Caenorhabditis elegans: one gene and its partner. The protein of the gene in region 1 purifies or fractionates together with the protein of each later gene. This does not show direct contact. Each region holds a gene or a part of one and is shown on either strand. Other genes may lie near its edges. The genes, in order: R05H5.3 and ZK829.7.

Region 1 (3,231 bases):
GAACTACAATAGAGTGTATAAATAATTGTTCTTGTGGTTAAATAGTTGCTAGTAACTTAGATAGAAATCGTATAATTACAGATTTACAGAATAATTCTTTCAGGCCCACCACGTCGTCATCCCTTTCTTGGCAGTCTCCAAGTGTGATTTGTTAGTGAATCCCGTGAAAAACCGTATCTTTCAAAATATCGGCGTTTTCGGTATTTCTTGCCCAATGCTCACAATTCTTGGAATAACTGCTGAACGCCTTCTGGCTCTGATCTTTGCTCGTTGCTACGAAAATGTTAAGCTTCATATTGGAGTGTTTATCGGTGTTTTTGCAGTGAGTAGCGTTATTATTTTTTATTATTAAAATTAAAATAAATAGTTCAGATGCTTTGCGACATGGCACTTGTCTATTTCTTCTTCCTCGATGAGAAATTCGATCAACCGTCCATCTCATACTTTATGGTTCCTGATACTTCCGGTTATAAAGTGAGTTTTCCCAGGGAATTTGGAAATTTCACCTAGGCGGCATTAAAACATAAAACCATAAATTTCAGATGAATTGGTTATGCTATTCCTTACTTGCTATTAATAGTGTAAATTTAGTTTTCAATTATTTTTTGGTAAAGATCAACACTATTTTGAAAGAAAAGTAAGATCAGATTTAAATTATTTTAAATGCAAACACTGAAAATTTCAGATGGCGTAATTCTTTATCAACTCGTTATCAAATGGAAGAGAACATTATAACCACGAAATTCTCCACTTTTATCTCATTTATTCATGTATTCTTCTTCTCGCTCTATCTCATTTTCACCCTAATTATTCGTCTTCTAGGACCAGGATTTTTGAAAACACAAGCCGATTTGATGTCGGTCAGAGGTGTTTACATCGTGAGAATATGGTGTTCGACAAATCATGACTAAATTACATTTTTTTCAGACTATTCCCACGTATAATTTGATTATTGGTATTGCTTCATGCGTCATTCTACGGCATTTGCAAAGACAAAAAGTTGCAAAAGTTTATGCGGAAGTTACATTGAAGTATTCTGGAATTGACGGGGCTCAGATTCATCAAGAGGCTATTTTAAATGTTTGGAAGACTAAGTCATCAGGACGGAAGTGACTGATTTATAATTGAAAAAATATATTACACGACAATAATATTTATGTTTAAATCGATGTTGTGCACAAAGGTGTGCGCCTTTAAGAAGTACAGTAACCCATCCCAGTTTTTTCGCAACTTTCGTCAACTTTTATACTTTTTTATCTGAAAAATTGTTTTATTATAGAAACGAAATTGCAGTACATGAAAAAAAGTTTTTTTAACTACGAAAAACGTTTAAAAAACAGTATTATGGGTTACTGTACTTCTATGGCACAATCAATAAATATTGCGTTGATTCTTTTTCTAAACTTTGTTCGAGCGAGAACAATTATTGTGCTTTTTTCATTGAAAAAAATTTACTCTTTATTAAAAAAAAATAATATTTCGAATGTAATCTTGCTTTATTTGAGAGTCAATAGTTCCGTAAGATCAACAAATTCATGAGTTCTCTTTGCAAGCGCGCTCTGTGGAGCGGCGCCAGAAATTGAATTCGCCGCGAAAAAGAAGCGCTAGAACGGAAATTCGAAAATTTTCTTCTCATTTCCTCTCATTTTATCGAGTTTCTTCGCTTTTTTTTTCATTTTTTGCTGCGTTGGCTAACTCCAAGAGCTTTCTCCACAGATACCCCGGTTTTTAAAGTCTTATATTTAGCAAATTGTGAGCTTTTGAAGTTGTTTGATGCGAAAACTCTTCGAATTTTATTGCAGAATTTATAGCTTATAGTTAACCTTCATTTTGTTCGCATTTCTTCCGCCGGTGCCATTTTACCATTTCAATTTATGAATACTTCTAGCTTTTATTTTTCAGAAATGTCCGAATTGCTCGCTGGAACCAAGTTGATCAACCAAGACAGCGAAGAGCTCGATGCTGGCGAGCACCTCAAGGGAAAGGTAAAACATTTCTTTTTTTTTTGAAGAAAAAATGGCAAAATTAATATTTCCAGGTCGTCGGACTCTACTTCTCGGCCAGTTGGTGTCCACCATGCCGTCAATTCACTCCAAAGCTCACTCGATTCTTCGACGAGATTCGCAAGAAGCATCCAGAATTCGAGGTTGTTTTCGTGTCTCGCGATCGTGAAGACGGTGATCTCCGTGAATACTTCCTTGAGCACATGGGCGCCTGGACTGCAATTCCATTTGGAACTCCAAGAATTCAGTTAGTTTCAGCTAAAATCGAATTTTAAATGTATACAAATAATTATTTTCAGAGAGCTTCTTGAACAATACGAAGTGAAGACGATCCCATCAATGCGCATTGTCAAGCCAAACGGAGATGTCGTTGTTCAGGACGCTCGCACCGAGATTCAGGACAAAGGAAATGATCCAGAAGCTCTCTGGGAAGAGTGGCTCGCTTTCTACGATTAAATTTTCTCCACCAACGTAACACCAAAAAATTTCAAGTTTCCTTTCACTCTAATTTATCAATTGTCACAATTTCTCACCATAATTTCAAATATTGCGGCTAATTTCGTACATTTCCCATAAAAACTTTCGCAGCCAAAGATTTATTTACATTTACAGTCTAGATTTATTCGGATCCACAGACTTCGTGGTTGGCTCTGACGACACGGACAATTTCGATTTTTCCACACTTGTAGGTGGTGCCGAAGTAGTGATGGAGTTTTCCGTTTTCTTCTTGAACTCTTCCAGCTTTTCCTTCAACTCTTCAGCGGTTGGTCGTTTTTCAGCATCTACTTGCCAGCACTCGCTCATGATTTCCACCATTCTACTCGGCATTGATGGTGGTGGAGGGAGGCGATATCCGGCTCGGGTTTTGCGCTGAAAAATTCAATACACATCTAGATCCTTTTTGGCAGTATTTACCTTGACTTGAGCAGCTTTCATCTCAACATATGGCGACTTGAATGGGGTCTCGAAAAACTCCCACATCATGATTCCAAACGCGTAGACGTCAGTGTTGAAACGCGTTTCCCCGTTGTCCCAAACCTCGGGAGCCAGCCATCGGATGTTGCATGGCTTTTTAAGATCAACTTTGTAGACGGATTGGGCTCGGCACATTCCAAAGTCAGCCATCTTGACGACTCCCTTGTGAATGAGGCAGTTTCGCGACGCGATATCACGATGGATACAGTTCTTTTTGTGCAGGTAATCCATGCCACAAGCAGCCATGTAGGTG
Region 2 (4,193 bases), on another chromosome or scaffold:
AGAATATATAAAAAAGACCAAATATCGATTTTAATTTGCTCTAGTTTTTTTTTAAAGTTTTCAGTTAACGTTTTGGTAATTTGGCGAATTTTCAAAAAGTTTGGCCATTTTTATTAATATCAGACATTGTTGCAAGCTGGCCCTCGCATAATGTTTGAATATATTAATAATTTCAAATAATAAGTCATACAACGCAAAATGTATCTTGATCAATTTTTTAAATCATAATAAGTGAAAACTGAGTAATTACCACTTTATGACGGAAAGTTAAAAAAAAACTTCAAAATGTTGACTGACTGTACTATGATATTTGCTCATCATATCATATGAGTGTTCCCTTCAAAAACAATTACAGTACCCCGTGAATGACTGGTCAAAAAGTGGAATTCTGGGAATGCTTGTAGCCGCAGTTATCACCAATTCTATTATGATCATCTATGTTTTCTTTGCACGAAAAATTCACTTGTCACTGAAAGCATGCACATTATCATGTACTACGAAAAGATTACATTCAAGTCTTCTCAAATCTTTAATTGCGCAAACTATAATTCCATTAATAAGTACAATCATCCCTTTATTTGTTGTATGGTTCCTCCCACTTGCCGGTGATAATTATGGAGTGTAGGTTATAGATTCATAAGTTCTTGAAATTTTTAAATACTTTCATAATACTGTCAACATATATTGTGCCTATACTAAGCGTTTATCCTGCAATTGATCCAGTTGTTATCACTTGTTCATTATCAGATCACAGAAATTCTGCATTGAAGATATTGGGATTCCAAAAAGATAAAACCAATGTATCTAAACGTTGATTAATTCATTTATAGATTTGGAAAAAAACGTTTATGAAGTTATTTAAAATGTGTATGATCTATTGATTTCAAATGTTCACAACGTCGAACCACAAATTGATGTTTCCTCATTTTCGATGTACTCAAACTATTTTATTATCGAACTTTTTTATGGAAAAATTTCAAATTATTTTTTTGCAAAATATTGGATTTTTTTGGAGATATTTCAAATTATTTTTTTTGAACTTTTTTTTTGAAAAATGTTTCAATTTTTTGGAAAATATTCGAGATTTTTTTCTACTCTCATTCTCCCCTAGAAGTCATGATGAAATTCGTTTGTGTGCACGTGAAAAGCACATGTATTGAGGGACGAATAGATGCTTCGGCATCTGTAGGGTCCTGCGTCTCGTTACTCTCCCACTGTTATTTTTCATCTGCAATATTTTCGTTTTCCATTTCACAAAGTTTATGTCAGTTAGTTGTTGTTCCGGTTACTTAAAAAGCTTATTCTCAAAAAGCCTAAGTTGATAGAGCTTTCAAAACATCAATAGTTAATTTGAATCTCTAATTCTAATTGTAAGTCAAGTAGATTCTTTCATAATAATCGTAACTGTAATTTTGCCGGAAAAATGCAAAAAAGTTTTCTTTATTAAAAACTAGTATTTAAAATTCCGCCAAAAGGCACGCAAAGTGCGCAAAGCCATTCTTGACCCCGTTATCGTGACTAGGCGCACTTTCCGTTTTTCAATCGGATTTTTTGTTTTCGGCACGTTGTTTCTCAACAAAGTTTAATGTCTCAAGTGATTGAACCAATTTTTCTATCATTTAAACTGAAAACACTAATATTTTATTTCTCTCCAAGTGTTTACAATGTTGATTCTATTGATTTTTCTCTAAAAAGTTGTGTCTCTTCAAAAAACACACACGTGACCCATGCTCTCACTTTGATGGTTTATTCTTTGTTAACAAATTTATTGATATTGAAGTGTTTATTCAACCTATTTAATTTAATTTTCCTTGCAGAAAATGCCAGCAACAAACCGAAGAATTTCTTTGGGATCTCCAAAGGATCTTCGGGAAGTGAAGTTTTTCGACGAGGAGCCAATCCCAGATGTCCCACCAAAGGGAGCACGCGTTAAAGTTTGTTATGCAGGAGTTTGCCTTACTGATAGAGAAGTTTCCAACACGAAGCAAGCAAGAATTACCAACGGAATCAAAGATACCAGCTTGTTTCCAGGTTTGAAATTTAGATTAATTTGGCTTGAACTAATGAAAATAACATTTTCGAAATCCGTTATTGCAGGATATGAAGTTTCCGGAATTGTTGAGTCATTCGGCGCTGAATGCACACCTGGTGACTATGATCTGACTATTGGAGATAAAGTAATCGTATGGCCAACTGATGAGATGTGCAGTCATGGTTATGCCGACTATGTTGCTGTTCCAACTCTCCATTTTCTTGTGAAAATTCCAGAAACTCTTTCAATGCATGTAGCATCTATTTTGCCTGCTGGAGCTACCTGGGCGTTGTCTGCTGTTCTTCAGGTTTGACATTTTCCACGGTTTTTTTCTTCAGTATTAATCAACAATTTTTTCCAGGCCAGACCGATAGTCGAAGCGTTTTCACAATCAAAGGGATTCTGCAATATTCTTATCGTGGGAGCAGGAGGACTTGGACTTTGGCTTCTTAAACTCGCCAAGCATTTCCTAGCGATCAACAATGATAAAAAGATCCGTTTGATGGTTGCTGATGCCAAAGAAGAACGTTTGTCTCTGGCCGAAAGAAACGGAGCTGACTTTGTAGTACACTGGGATGATTCCGAATTTGAAGAATATCTGATTATGAGAACTAAGGATGTGGCTCGTACCGGTGTCAATGTTGTTTTCGATTTTGTGACATCTCCAAGAACTGTCACTCGATCATTGAAGTGTCTCGCTGAAGGTGGTGTCTTATTTGTTGGAGGTCTTTCCGGTCTTGATGTTCAACTTCCAATCAAGCACGTTGCTAAAAACAGACTGGCCATTATGGGAGTTACGAGGTACTATTTGAAGTTTTTTTCTTTCTTTATTTCATTTACAAAATTTCCAGAGGAAGTATCGAACAACTGAAAAACCTTGTAAATTTGATTGCCGGAGGCCAAATCGATGCTCCAGACTACAGAGTTTATCCAGTCGATCAAGCGTCTGCAGTGTTGAAGCAATTGTCGATGTCGGAGGTTGAAGGTCGTGCCATTCTCGAAGTTTGCGATCCCTCTTCAGCATTAGATGCAGATCAGAGCGGCGGTGTTCCAATTCCTGCCGCCACTTCCGAATAATTGCTCAATAAGCCTCCAAAGGTGTAATAATTGTATTTCCCATTTTGCCATTTCATACATTGTCCCGACTCCCTTCACTCATAATTATATAGTCAGAAAGTCTTATTTCATCCTGTGCATTTACTCTATTACTTCCCAGACATCGGTATTTTGAGTATAGTGTTGCCATCTGCTTTTCAAAAATTCCCTGTAACATAAAATCCACATTTTCTCCCGTTTCTTGCTCTAGATCCGCATCCTTCCAAATAATTTTAACATGAGAACGAAAATAATTTTTAGTTAGGTAATCTTAGTTTGTAAAAAATATGTAAACAAACGAATTCAATGAATATTATAAAAAAACAAATTACCGTTACAGTACTTCATTAAAGGTCATAACCAATTATACTTGGAATAAAAATAATTATTTCCTATTTTAACGAAAAAAAAACTTACGAAGTGAAGTCTCCAATGACACCGGAACCGCTCCCGACGTGCCAGGCAGATATGAGGTACGACGTGCTGGCGAGAGCAGGATTCGCTCGTCGTGGAAATCTTCATTTGCCACATTCCATCGTCGAAACGCCTGTTTTTATGCCTGTTGGAACACAGGGAACTATGAAGGTATGGAATAAATTAAGAATAAAAATTCTAAATTGAAAAAAAAACTTTTTCAAAAATGTGAAATTTGTTTGTGATCATAATAAAGTATAATACAAAAAATAAAACCTGTTAGTTTTTTTTTTAACTTTCAGTGAAAATTTTTTCAAATTTTTGAAAAGTAGAGATTTTATGAAGTTTACAGCAAGTTAAATTTATGAACATTTTTTTTCAGATTCTCATTTTTCGATTTTCCCTGAAAAAAATTAAAAAAATATTTTCTCGAGTTTATGCAGTTTCATATATAATAAACTTACAGGGAATCGTACCGGAACAACTAGTCTCGATGGATTGTCGAATTCTCCTTTGCAACACGTACCATCTTGGACATCGTCCCGGTCATGAACGAGTTAAGGCTGCTGGTGGATTACATAAAATGATGAACTGGAATCGTTCAATTCTCACTGATTCTGGAGGATTCCAAATGGTCTCGTTGAGCAAACTC

Evidence for each region.
Region 2: the proteins of R05H5.3 (region 1) and ZK829.7 fractionate together in Caenorhabditis elegans (co-fractionation; one large-scale study listed by BioGRID). This does not show direct contact.

The regions. Positions count from the first base shown.
Region 1 is NC_003280.10:10,195,723-10,198,953, forward strand, and holds R05H5.3 (protein-disulfide reductase), read left to right. Parts: upstream 1-1,902; 5' UTR 1,903-1,904; coding exon 1,905-1,985; intron 1,986-2,038; coding exon 2,039-2,250; intron 2,251-2,302; coding exon 2,303-2,459; 3' UTR 2,460-2,596; downstream 2,597-3,231. Other genes in the region: srb-6 (Serpentine receptor class beta-6), read left to right, coding at 104-322, 373-474, 543-637, 686-878, 928-1,113; R05H5.4 (Tyrosine-protein kinase), read right to left, coding at 2,610-2,873, 2,919-3,231.
Region 2 is NC_003282.8:11,959,160-11,963,352, reverse strand, and holds ZK829.7 (Enoyl reductase (ER) domain-containing protein), read left to right. Parts: upstream 1-1,817; 5' UTR 1,818-1,820; coding exon 1,821-2,031; intron 2,032-2,097; coding exon 2,098-2,339; intron 2,340-2,393; coding exon 2,394-2,833; intron 2,834-2,883; coding exon 2,884-3,109; 3' UTR 3,110-3,448; downstream 3,449-4,193. Other genes in the region: tgt-1 (Queuine tRNA-ribosyltransferase catalytic subunit), read left to right, coding at 3,560-3,712, 4,008-4,193.